3 linked regions of the Ovis aries genome follow. The protein of the gene in region 1 binds, or shares a complex with, the protein of each later gene. Links are inferred from orthologs where the notes say so. Each region holds a gene or a part of one and is shown in the gene's direction. Other genes may lie near its edges.

Region 1 (4,391 bases):
GAGCCTGTCCCTGCTGGTCCTGCGCGCAGGATGCCGCATGTGCGGCTGCAAACACAGGCTCAGCTCAGCTCTGCTCAAGGGAAATCAGGGGCTCTGGGCAGAGAGCAGCCCCTAAGAAACCCCTCTATCCAGAACACCAGAAGGCAACCTGCTTAGAGACGGGGTCACTGCAGGCGCAGCAGGTTGAGACGGGGTCACTGCAGGAGCAGCAGGTTGAGACGGGGTTGCAGTGTCTCCTGTCCAATGACTGGTGTTCTTGAAAAAGCAGGAGATTCACACACACACACAGAGGGCAGCAGAGGCAGAAACTGTCCGCTCAGTGTGGCCAGGCCCAAAGGCCACTGGCGCCTCGGGAGCTGGAAGAGGTGAAAGGACCCTCCCCAGAGCCTCGGAGGGAGCGCAGCCCTCCAACACCGGCACCCAGACCTGGGACAGGCTAGTCCCTTGTGGCTGGGAGCCGCCAGGCGCGGGCTGCATGGGCAGCTAGGAGGGCACACGAGGAATCCAGTGGCTGCGAGGCGCTTGGCCTGAGAAGGTGGTGGCTGGGGTGGGAGGAGGCTGGGATGCTGGCCGCTCATGGCGCGGGGGCGGGGGCCCTTCTAGAGCCTTCACAGGACACAGGGCGCCCCCAGCTCTCGGCAGGCCTCGCCAGCCCCCCTGCCCCGTGAGGAGAGTGAGGCTCAGAGGGGTGAGCCCCTCCAGAGCTGGAGAAGACGGAGCCAGGGCCCCCAGGGAGCTGAGCCCAGAGCGGCTACACCTGCCTCGTGTCCCCGAGGGGCTCGGAGTCCCCCCAACATCCTTCACAAATTCCACTACACCTGGGTCCTGAGGAACTGGTAGTTACTGATAGTGACGAGCAGAGAGTCCAGAGGCCATCAGCAGAGGGCTGTCTTCTTCTCGGAGAGGGAGCACCCGGGACCTGCAGGGACGGCTGGGCCCCGTCACCCCCGCACAGAGGAAGGCACAGGGCAGGTGTCCCCAGCCCACTGTTAACAGGAAAGGGGAGCCTCCTGAGGAGACCGGACACCTGAGGGGCCCCCGCAGGGAGACCACCAGCCCAGTGGCCCTGGGCACCCCGACTTCACCCTGAAAGTCCAGGGTCCTGAGAAACCTGTCCGTGCCCGGCAGCCGGGGCAGCTGGTCACCCCCCTCTGCGGCCCAGGGGCAGGAGGGCCCAAGGGACCCGCGTGGGGCTGAGACGCCACAGGGGCTGCTTGGGGGCACGCCCCTCCCCCGTGCCCCCCGAGCCAGGAGGACCACTCTGCAGCGCGCTCACAGTCACACCGCGGGCCCGCCGCCCTGCCGGGGCCATCACAGGGCAGCGGGCACCACTCCTCCCCAGCAGCCTCCCCAGAGCGGCACACGCCAGACACGCACCGCGGAGTCTTGGGTACGGAGCCCGTGGGGCGGCCCGGCCAGCCCCCGTCCGCAGGCCCTGCGCCAGGACTGCAGCACCCTCCCCCACCGCCTCCGGCTCTGGGAGAACTTTGCCCGCCCCGGGAAAGTCAACAGCCTGAGCGACCTAGGACCCTACCATGCTGCCCCAGGCCACGGCTCTGGCCCTCCTCTGCTTTCTGCTCAGCCTGCGGGGGTCCCTGCAGGCAGGTAAGTGGGGGGAGGTTCCCCATTAACCCCGTGGAAGGCCAGCTGCCCCCAAAGCTGGCCTGCATGGTAGGCACTCCCGTCTGCCGGGAGCCTGGCTGGAGGGTCCTCTCTGACCTGCCTGCCTTTCAAAAGATGAGCGGAGCCCCTGGAGCCCAGTCCCCTCCCAGACGCCTGGGGGCAGGCTCCCTGGCCACGGCGGGCCCTCCCCTGCCTCCACCGCCCCCCAGGCCGACGCGGGCTCAGAGGCGACCCGTCTCCCGCTCTGCTCTCAGCCGCTCGCTGGTGGACCCCCTCTCCCAGGGACAGGGCACAGATGCTGCGCCTGGTGCTCAGCCACCGCGGCAGTGAACACGACCCCCACCCACGAACGCGGAGAGGCCTGAGTGGGAACACGGGCGGGCGGCTCTGTGAGCGGTCACCACCGTGATTCCCCAGCCCCGAGGGGTGGCCGAGGCGGAAGCCAGGTGCCGACACCATCCCCTAGACCCGTCCACGTCTGCCCCGGCGCCCACACCGGCTGCGGGGCCCCACCCGCAGGCCTGCTCCAGTGCCGGTGGCCCCCCGGGTCCTTCCTGTTTAACCGTCTTTGTCCGCCTGGGGTCGCCGGGGGTGGGTCGTTAGCGCTGCCAGTGTCTGCAGCTCTCCCAGCGGCCACGTGTCTGCGGGGCTCAGAGCATCTCCTTAGGATAAACTGGAAGTGAAGGGACCCGGTTAAGGGCGTGGACATGTTATAATTAAACATGTCGCCTTCTCCTCCCATATGAAGCCTGTGCGGTGCTGCCCGTTGGCAGCCGTGAGAAACGCTCCTGCTGCAAACTAGCCAGGCTGTGGGTGGGAGGCCTGTGATCCCACCACCGGGGTGGGCAGGGGGCCTGTGATCCCATCACCGGGGTGGGGGGCAGGGGGCCTGTGATCCCATCACCGGGGTGGGGGGCAGGGGCCTGTGATCCCATCACCGGGGTGGGGGGCAGAGGGCCTGTGATCCCATCACCGAGGGGGGTCAGGGGGCCTGTGATCCCATCACCGAGGGGGGGCAGGGGCCTGTGATCGCATCATGGGGGGGCAGGGTGGTGGGGAGGTGCTGTTACAGGTGGGGGGATGGTGCCGTCGCCCCCGTGTCTCACAGCGTGCCCCCCAGTCTTCCTGCCCCAGGAGCAGGCCCTCAGCGTCCTGCATCGGCCCCGGCGTGCCAACGGGTTCCTGGAGGAGCTGCGGCCGGGCTCGCTGGAGCGGGAGTGCAAGGAGGAGCTCTGCTCCTTCGAGGAGGCCCGTGAGATCTTCCGCAACGAGGAGAGGACGGTGAGCTCACCCGGCGGGCCGGGGGCGGGTGGCGGGCTCTGGGCGCCAGGGGCCGGGGTCTCCCCATGCCAAGACCCCCTGCGCATCCTCACCCCTCATCCAGAAGCAGTTTCCTGTGCCCTCACCCCCCTGAGGATGGCCCCCGACCCCGTAAGCCGTCCAGGCCCCGGGCAGGGCCACCTGTCCAGCAGCCCTCAGAGACCCATTGGAGCCATCGGCGACCCCGGCCAGGGCCGCCTCAGGGATGCGCGAGTGGGGAGGGCGCAACTAGGGAGCCTGTGCCTCCCCCAGCGGGGCGGAGCAGGTGGGGCGGGCCTCCCCTCCCGCCCACGAGCAGAGAGGTCCCTGCTGAAACTGTCTCCTTCCAGGGGGCTGAGGATCAGGAGGCCAGAGACAGGACCCCCTCTCCCCACACACTCGAGGGACACCCCACATGGGACACACGTCTCACACGCATGGGACCCACACCTGGCATGGGACACGCATCACACACAGGACACACGTCTCACACGCATGGGGCCCACACCTGGCATGGGACACGCATCACACACAGGACACACGTCTCACACGCATGGGACCCACGTCTCACACGCACAGGACACACGTCTCACATGCATGGGACCCACACCTGGCACAGGACACGCATCACACACAGGACACATGTCTCACACGCATGGGACCCATGTCTCACACGCACAGGACACACGTCTCACATGCATGGGACCCACACCTGGCATGGGACACGCATCACACACACGACACACGTCTCACACGCATGGAACACGCACCTGGCACGGCGCACACTCTGCACTCGCAGGCAGGGCTCCCACGGCCCTTCCCCGCCGCGCTAAGGACGGTCACCCCTTGCGTCTGTGTGTGTGTTTGAGTCGCTCAGTCGTGTCTGCCTCTCTGCGACCCCACGCACTGTAGCCACCGGGCTCGCCTGTCCATGGTTCTCAGGCAGGAGAACCGGAGTGGATTGTGGTTTTCAGAACCTTCCAGCAGATTTCACCTTGGTGTGTTCTCACAGCAACAGAGCTGTTTTTCATTGGCCTAAAGATCCCTGGGGAATCCCTGTTACTGAAGAGGCCCCTGGAACTGGCAGGGCACTTTCACGTGTCTTTCCCACATTCTCCTTGGTCAGCGGGTGTCTGGACTGTCAGCACAGCATCGGGGGCAGCCCAGAGGCTCGGGGAGTGTGGGGTCTCACCCACGTTCACAGCTCCGACATGGCAGGGCTGGTGCTGAAGCCTAGGGTTGGAACTTGGGAGAGGAGATTCAGACCTCTGTGGCCTTAGCAATGGGAGGGGCGGGTATTAGAGAAAAAACTCGCTTCCCTGGATGAACCCACCTGTCTCCACAGGAGCGGTGTGGCTTCCAGAGCCCACTGGGAGGGCTGGTCGGAAGCCCCAGCCGCCCGGCGCCTCCCCCACAGGGACGTAAACGCTTGCCTAGGCGCCCACATCTCACGCGGCTTCCTCTTGCTC
Region 2 (3,631 bases), on another chromosome or scaffold:
TCTAAGCTTAGACCCCACCCATGACCACTGACAGTAACTACAGGTTCATTGATATTTAGTCTCCCTCCTTGGGCAGCATCCTCATGATTTCTTTTATAGTTCATGAGGATCTTTTAAAATAATTTCCATTTATTTTTATTTTTGGCTGTGCTGGGCCCTCCTTGCTGCACGGGCCCCTCTCTAGGTGCAGTGCACAGGCTTCTCTTTTCGATGGCTCCTCTTGTGGAGACCAGCTCTAGGGTGCATGGCCTCAGTGACTGTGGTTTCTGGGCTCTGGAGCGCAGGCTCAGTAGTTGCGGCACAAGGGCGTAGTTGCTCTGAGGCATGTGGGATCTAACCAGATCAGGGATCGAGTCCCTGTCCCCTGCATTGGCCGGCAGATTCTTTAACACTGAGCCAACAGGCAAGCCCCGTTCTTGAGCTTCTTGTAAGCTACTTCATATCCTTTTTTGGTGCAAGAGAGAAAATAGTTTGTATTTCTGTGTGCTCATACACACACATCCTTGCCTATAATTCCTATTGAATTATGAGGATTTGTTTCACTATTATTCAACCAAAGCACATGAGATAATTGAGCCATCAAAGAGACCTGGTGGTTAAAAGTGATTTTTTGAGATACCAAGGACATTTCGTGGGCTTTCCCACAGCCTCTATTGTATCTAAAATATGGAATCTTTTGCAGCTGTTTGGTTAACCACATGTGGCTGTTGAGCGCTTGAAATGTCAGCTAATGCCGTATGTGTAAAATTTACACTGGATTTTGAGAAAGATCTCAAAGTTTTCATATTGATTGAATGTTAAAGTTATAATATTTTAGCCATATTGGGTTAAATGAAATAGATTAACTTCACTCACCTTTTTACTTTTTCTAATGAGACCACAAGGAGATAGATTTAAAGTGACATCTGTGGCTCCCAGTACATTTCCGCTAGACAGCACTGCTGTAGAATGTCTCTTGGTTCAGCTCCGGTGCCAGGGAGCTGGTTCTTTGAGGTATTTCATGAGGGATGACTAGGTGGTTATTAACCATGATAACTCAATGGGGTTCTACTTTGTATAGAACTCTTTAGTCCCAACGAAGCTCATTTTCTGTGTTTTAGCAAACCTTGGACAGCCAACAATTCGGAGTTTTGAACAAGTTGGGACAAAACTGAATGTGACCGTACAAGATGCACGTACGTTAGTCAGAGCAGACGGCAAATTTCTAAGCCTCCGGGATGTTTTTGGCAAGGACTTGAATTATACACTTTATTACTGGAAAGCTTCCAGTACAGGAAAGGTGAGCATTCTTTTGTTTTTATGACTTTTTAAAAATTGCAAATCCTTGATTTCACTTCTTCTCCAAGTCAAACATCAAAGCAAGTTGTTGACAGGGCAGTGTTGTAGAGTGGGAAGCAGACTGCTGTCTTGGTTCTGCCTGTGACTTCAGCTGCTTTGGACTGGCCCGCCTCGGGTACCCAGATTCCCAGCCAAGGGGCAGACCAGTCATCTCTAAGGTTCCCACTAGCTCCCACATTTCTTCTTCTATTGAGGATCCCAGAGACAGAATTTGTTTTTCATTCAACAATTAGTACTTCTTTCCTTTTTTCCTTTCTTGCAGATATCTTCTAATGGGGCTAAATATTGGGTTGACTGTATCCAAAGTGTCTTCATCCTTGGGGGAAAAAATCCTTAGCAGTTATCAGGGGGAGCTTGATGAGCCAACTGACTTCCAATCTTTATGTCAGATGTGTCCACATAGGCTGGGCTTCCCTGGTGGCTCAGGCCATAAAGAATCTGCCTGCAATACAGGAGACCCAGGTTCTATCCCGGAGCTGGAAAGATCCCTTGGGAAAGGGAATGGCTACCCACTCCAGTATTCTTGACTGGAGAATTCCATGGACTAAGGAGCCTGGCGGGCTACAGTCCATGGGGTTGCAGAGTCAGACACAACTGAGCGACTAACACTTTCATTTTACTACCACACGGACTTAGTAAAGGCAACAGAATTCACTCTGAGCCTGGATGAATAAAGAACTCTTATCTTTTAACAGAAAAAGGCCACGACAAACACTAATGGGTTTTTGATTGATGTGGATAAAGGCGAAAACTATTGTTTCCATGTTCAAGCAGTGATTCTATCACGAAGAGCTAACCAGAAGAGTCCAGAAAGTCCCATCGTGTGCACTAGCCACGAGAAAGGTCTGGCCACAGGTGAGGCTCTGCCCGCGGTCTGGGAGGCAGGGCTGCCTTCCGCGGGACTAGCTACACCCTCAGGACTAGACGTACTGTCTTCAGGGTTTCTTGTGGTTGGGGCAGGGGGAGGGTACTCATGATTTTAGACGTTTAGTTTCTGTGTCATTCCCTTGTATTAACAGGTGTTTTTTAGTTTTTTTTTTTTTTTTTCTCTAGCACCTAGCATGCACTAAGCTGAGCGAGCCCTGGGCCCATGGTAGATGTTTAGGATTTAGTATCAAATCACAGATTTCTCTGGGCATTTTTTCATACTCCTGGTTTGTGGTGAGCTTCACCAGCTCACCTGGGGAACTGGGTATAGCAACACCCCATAGACGTTTGTGAGCACCTATCATGGGCTGCTGTTGGCCCAGGGTCATAACCCATGAAGCAAAGGGATTGGGGCTAGCAGATACATGTGTACATGTGTGTGCCTCATTGGCACACGTGTGCACACATGTGCCACACCACAGCACAGACACCAGGTGAGGAGTGGATCTTGTCTGGAGGTGCCATGGAGGCTCAGACATGTGCACGAGACTGAGAGCCCAGGAATCTGCCTCCAGGCTTGATTGGGATTGTGCTCTGAGTAAGGGAACAGAAGAGTGAGAGGATAGTAATAATGACCTAGTGCCTTGCTGAGAGGTAGTTTAAATATTTTAAAGTCACTTTAAAAATTCTCTCCTGTTAACTGACAATGACAAAAGCAAAGGGCTCTCCTTCTCCCAGGTCCTGCACCATTTGGGCCATCACACCCGCAGCCCTCACATCCATCTTCCTAAAGCCAGCTTGAGTTCCCCTGCCTCGCTGTCTTCGCGCACACCTAGATCACTGCTTCCCCTGCCTCTTCTCTCTCTGCTGAAATGTGTCCTCTGAGAATCGTTTCATGTGCCACCTCTACCAGGAAGCCTTCTTATTGCCCCAACCAGTTATGTCTTCTTTATGTGAATCTGGGTAGCACTCTGTATCTCTCTTTGCACTGATAGTTCATCTTCTACTATAATCATTGCTACCCAGCTCGGCATCATCTTTAGCCACTTGTTTCTAACAGCTATTCTTGCTTCCATCTACATGTATCTTTCTAGACTGTGAGCATTATCCAGTTTGTTAAATGCTTTTTCATTGTTGTCAATTGCCTGCAAACATCTAGGGTTTGAGAGATTCTTTCCTAACAGAAATGTGTGGTGGAGAAAGGAGATTTCAAGTTACACAAAAGCTGGATGGTATAATTTGGGGTTATGCCCTGGGTTCTGCCCACTGAAAAATGAGATTCAGGCTCTCTCTCTGAGTTGACTTGGTACCTTTTATTTTTCAGAACTTTTCTTCATCATTGGAGCAGTGATGCTTGTGATCATCATCTTCATCGTCGTCCTGTCTGTGACTCTGCACAAGTGCAGGAAGGTGAGAGCAGGGCAAA
Region 3 (3,631 bases), on another chromosome or scaffold:
CAGTTTCTGCAGCGTTACTGGTTGGGGCGTAGACTTGGATTACCGTGATATTGAATGGTTTGCCTTGGAAACAAACAGAGATCATTCTGTCGTTTTTGAGATTGCATCCAAGTACTGCATTTCGGACTCTTGTTGACTATGATGGCTACTCCATTTCTTCTGAGGGATTCCTGCCCACGGTAGTAGATATAATGGTCATCTGAGTTAAATTCACCCATTCCACTCCATTTTAGTTCGCTGATTCCTAGAACGTCAACATTCACCCTTGCCCTCTCTTGTTTGATCACTTCCAATTTGCCTTGATTCATGGACCTGACATTCCAGGTTCTTATGCAATATTGCTCTTTACAACGTCGAATCTTGCTTCTATCACCAGTCCCATCCACAACTGGGTATTGTTTTTGCTTTGGCTCCATCCCTTCATTCTTTCTGGAGTTATTTCTCCACTGATCTCCAGTAGCATATTGGGCACCTAATGACCTGGGGAGTTCCTCTTTCAGTATCCTGTCATTTTGCCTTTTCATACTGTTCATGGGGTTCTCAAGGCAAGAATACTGAAGTGGCTTGCCATTCCCTTCTCCAGTGGACCACATTCTGTCAGACCTCTCCACCATGAGCTTTTGTGTAATAAAGTTTTATTAAAGTATAAAAGAGATAGAGAAAGCTTCTGACATAGGCATCAGAAGGGGGCAGAAAGAGTACCCGCTTGTTAGTGTTAGCAATGAAGTTATATACTCTCCAGTGAATCCAAAAAATGTCTGGAGGTTGTAAAGACCTCACCAGACCTACTCCCATAATTTACATTTTAAGATAACAGAATTAGCCAGAAGGTTTAATCCAGAGACTGTCCTCAGGCAGAATACATTGTTGTTATATAATCCTAAGAAGAGGTGGAAGAACTGTACAAAAAAGATCTTCATGACCCAGATAATCATGATGATGTGATCACTCATCTAGAGCCAGACATCCTGGAATGTGAAGTCAAGTGGGCCTTAGAAAGCATCACTACGAACAAAGCTAGTAGAGGTAATGGAATTCCAGTTGAGCTGTTTCAAATCCTGAAAGATGATGCTGTGAAAGTGCTGCACTCAATATGCCAGCAAATTTGGAAAACTCAGCAGTGGCCACAGGACTGGAAAAGGTCAGTTTTCACTCCAGTTCCAAAGAAAGGCAATGCAAAACAATGCTCAAACTACCGCACAATTGCACTCATCTCACACGCTAGTAAAGTAATGCTCAAAATTCTCCAAGCCAGGCTATAGCAATATGTGAACCGTGAACTCCCTGATGTTCAAGCTGGTTTTAGAAAAGGCAGAAGAACCAGAGATCAAATTCCCAACATCCGCTGGATCACTGAAAAAGCAAGAGAGTTCCAAAAAAACATCTCTTTCTGCTTTATTGACTATGCCAAAGCCTTTGACTGCGTGGATCACAATAAACTGTGAAAAATTCTGAAAGAGATGGGCATACCAGACCACCTAACCTACCTCTTAAGAAATTTGTATGCAGGTCAGGAAGCAACAGTTAGAACTGGACATGGAACAACAGACTGGTTCCAAATAGGAAAAGGAGTATGTCAAGGCTGTATATTGTCACCCTGCTTATTTAACTTCTATGCAGAGTACATCATGAGAAACGCTGGACTGGAAGAAACACAAGCTGGAATCAAGATTGCTGGGAGAAATATCAATAGCCTCAGATATGCAGATGACACCACCCTTATGGCAGAAAGTGAAGAGAAGCTAAAAAGCCTCTTGAATGTGAAAGAGGAGAGCGAAAAAGTTGGCTTAAAGCTCAACATTCAGAAAACGAAGATCTTGGCATCTGGTCCCGTCACTTCATGGGAAATAGATGGGAAACAGTAGAAACAGTGTCAGACTTTATTTTTTTGGGCTCCAAAATCACTGCAGATGGTGACTGCAGCCATGAAATTAAAAGACACTTACTCCTTGGAAGAAAAGTTATGACCAACCTAGATAGCATATTCAAAAGCAGAGACATTACTTTGCCGACTAAGGTCCGTCTAGTCAAGGCTATGGTTTTTCCAGTGGTCATGTATGGATGTGAGACTTGGACTGTGAAGAAGGCTGAGCACCGAAGAATTGATACTTTTGAACTGTGGTGTTGGAGAAGACTCTTGAGAGTCCCTTGGACTGGAAGGAGATCCAACCAGTCCATTCTGAAGGAGATCAACCCTGGGATTTCTTTGGAAGGAATGATGCTAAAGCTGAAACTCCAGTACTTTGGCCACCTCATGTGAAGAGTTGACTCATTGGAGAAGACTCTGATGCTGGGAGGGATTGGGGGTAGGAAGAGTAGGGGACGACTGAAGATGAGATGGCTGGATGGCATCATGGACTCGATGGACTCATGGACATCTGAGTGAACTCCGGGAGATGGTGATGGATAGGGAGGCCTGGCGTGCTGCGATTCATGGGGTCGCAGAGTCGGACACGACTGAGCAACTGAACTGAACTGAACACTTACTGAGTATTTACTATGTGTCACTGTTCTAAGTTTTCTACATGTATTAACTCATTTAATATTTAAAACAAGCCTGTTAGATAGATACCATTATTGATATTATCATTTCTCTAGTTATAAAGATAAGGAAACGGAAGCCTAGGAAGATTAAGTAACTTGCCTAGAGTTGGAAAGAGGTGGAGTCAGATAATCTTTCTCAAGAGCCCACACTCTTAACTCTTGCATTGTATTTCCTAATTCTTGCTCCTAAAAGACTTATCTAGGAAATAATTAAGAACTGGTAGGACCATATACACTCCAAGTATGATATCAGTTAAGAGATGAGAAAGCTATGTGGTCATTCAGAATTGGGTATATCATTTCCTTAAACTAAAACCTCCAACAGTATATGTCTTCTAGAAAAATAGAACTTTTGGGTACTGGAAAAGTTGACATTTAGTGTGATTTCATATTCTGGGATTCAGTCAGCCCATGATTTTTAACCCATGATCATTTTTGCCTTTTAGCATCCAGAGTCTAGACTTGGATATGTCTTTGATGGTATAACGCAGGGGCAAGGCCTTTTCCAGATCCCGTGACATGAGTGCAGTTTGCTGCTTCTTCCTCTGCTCCAAGACTGATTTAAAATAACCTCTCTGTTTCTGTTGAAGACATCAGAGTACCATGATATCATGTATCCTGCTTGGACATTTTGGGAAGGAGGACCCGCTGTTTGGCCAATATATCCTATGGGTCTTGGACGGTGGGACCTGTTCAGGGAAGATCTGGTAAGGTAGGTCCTCTGCTGCTGGTAGGTCCTCTAGAGAGGTTTTATTTGTCCCTCTTTTTGGGTCACCTTGAAGTAAATGGTTAAGTATAGACAATTATTTTCTCTAAAATGACTAACTTTTAAGCTAAAAGTAAAAGACACACAAAAAAACTTTATAGCATAAGCAATTTTATATGTGTATAGAAGTATTTACATATCCATAGAAAAAGAGCCAAAGAACTTACCCTAAAATGTCAGCAGTGCTTCTGTGGGAGGGATTATAGAAGCCTCTTTTTTTCTTCTTTAAATATTTCCATACTTTTAAGATTCTTTAAGAGTGAATTCCTTTTATAAGTAGGAAAGAATAAATGATCATATTGTGGGGAAGGATAGAAAATT

The links.
Region 2: the proteins of F7 (region 1) and F3 are in contact, whole or in part, in a crystal structure (PDB 6R2W), measured with the Homo sapiens proteins. The link is inferred for Ovis aries from reciprocal best matches to the Homo sapiens genes F7 and F3. Residues at the interface, in NP_000122.1 of Homo sapiens: Leu73, Lys78, Phe91, Arg96, Leu99, Phe100, Ser103, Ser120, Lys122, Gln124, Leu125, Ile129, Cys130, Phe131, Cys132, Leu133, Pro134, Phe136, Glu137, Gly138, Arg139, Lys145, Gln148, Ile150, Val152, Asn153, Glu154; in NP_001984.1 of Homo sapiens: Thr49, Asn50, Lys52, Ile54, Glu56, Trp77, Lys78, Ser79, Lys80, Phe82, Tyr83, Glu88, Asp90, Asp93, Gly141, Gln142, Thr144, Glu162, Arg163, Thr164, Leu165, Arg167, Phe172, Tyr188, Trp190, Lys191, Ser192, Ser194, Ser195, Gly196.
Region 3: the proteins of F7 (region 1) and POGLUT1 are in contact, whole or in part, in a crystal structure (PDB 5L0S), measured with the Homo sapiens proteins. The link is inferred for Ovis aries from reciprocal best matches to the Homo sapiens genes F7 and POGLUT1. Residues at the interface, in NP_000122.1 of Homo sapiens: Asp108, Gln109, Cys110, Ala111, Ser112, Ser113, Pro114, Cys115, Gln116, Asn117, Gly118, Gly119, Cys121, Gln126, Ser127, Tyr128, Arg139, Asn140; in NP_689518.1 of Homo sapiens: Met103, Phe104, Pro105, Ser106, Arg107, Arg132, Asp133, Pro171, Ala172, Trp174, Pro178, Thr179, Thr214, Asn239, Gln240, Ala241, Val274.

What each region holds. Positions count from the first base shown.
Region 1 is NC_056063.1:85,832,374-85,836,764, forward strand, and holds the start of F7 (coagulation factor VII), read left to right. Parts: upstream 1-1,510; 5' UTR 1,511-1,535; coding exon 1,536-1,605; intron 1,606-2,731; coding exon 2,732-2,904; intron 2,905-4,391. UniProt on the Homo sapiens protein: Initiates the extrinsic pathway of blood coagulation. Serine protease that circulates in the blood in a zymogen form. Factor VII is converted to factor VIIa by factor Xa, factor XIIa, factor IXa, or thrombin by minor proteolysis.
Region 2 is NC_056054.1:71,635,854-71,639,484, reverse strand, and holds part of F3 (tissue factor), read left to right. Parts: intron 1-1,100; coding exon 1,101-1,279; intron 1,280-2,033; coding exon 2,034-2,193; intron 2,194-3,529; coding exon 3,530-3,631. UniProt on the Homo sapiens protein: Initiates blood coagulation by forming a complex with circulating factor VII or VIIa. The [TF:VIIa] complex activates factors IX or X by specific limited proteolysis.
Region 3 is NC_056054.1:185,127,250-185,130,880, forward strand, and holds part of POGLUT1 (protein O-glucosyltransferase 1), read left to right. Parts: intron 1-3,134; coding exon 3,135-3,256; intron 3,257-3,631. UniProt on the Homo sapiens protein: Dual specificity glycosyltransferase that catalyzes the transfer of glucose and xylose from UDP-glucose and UDP-xylose, respectively, to a serine residue found in the consensus sequence of C-X-S-X-P-C.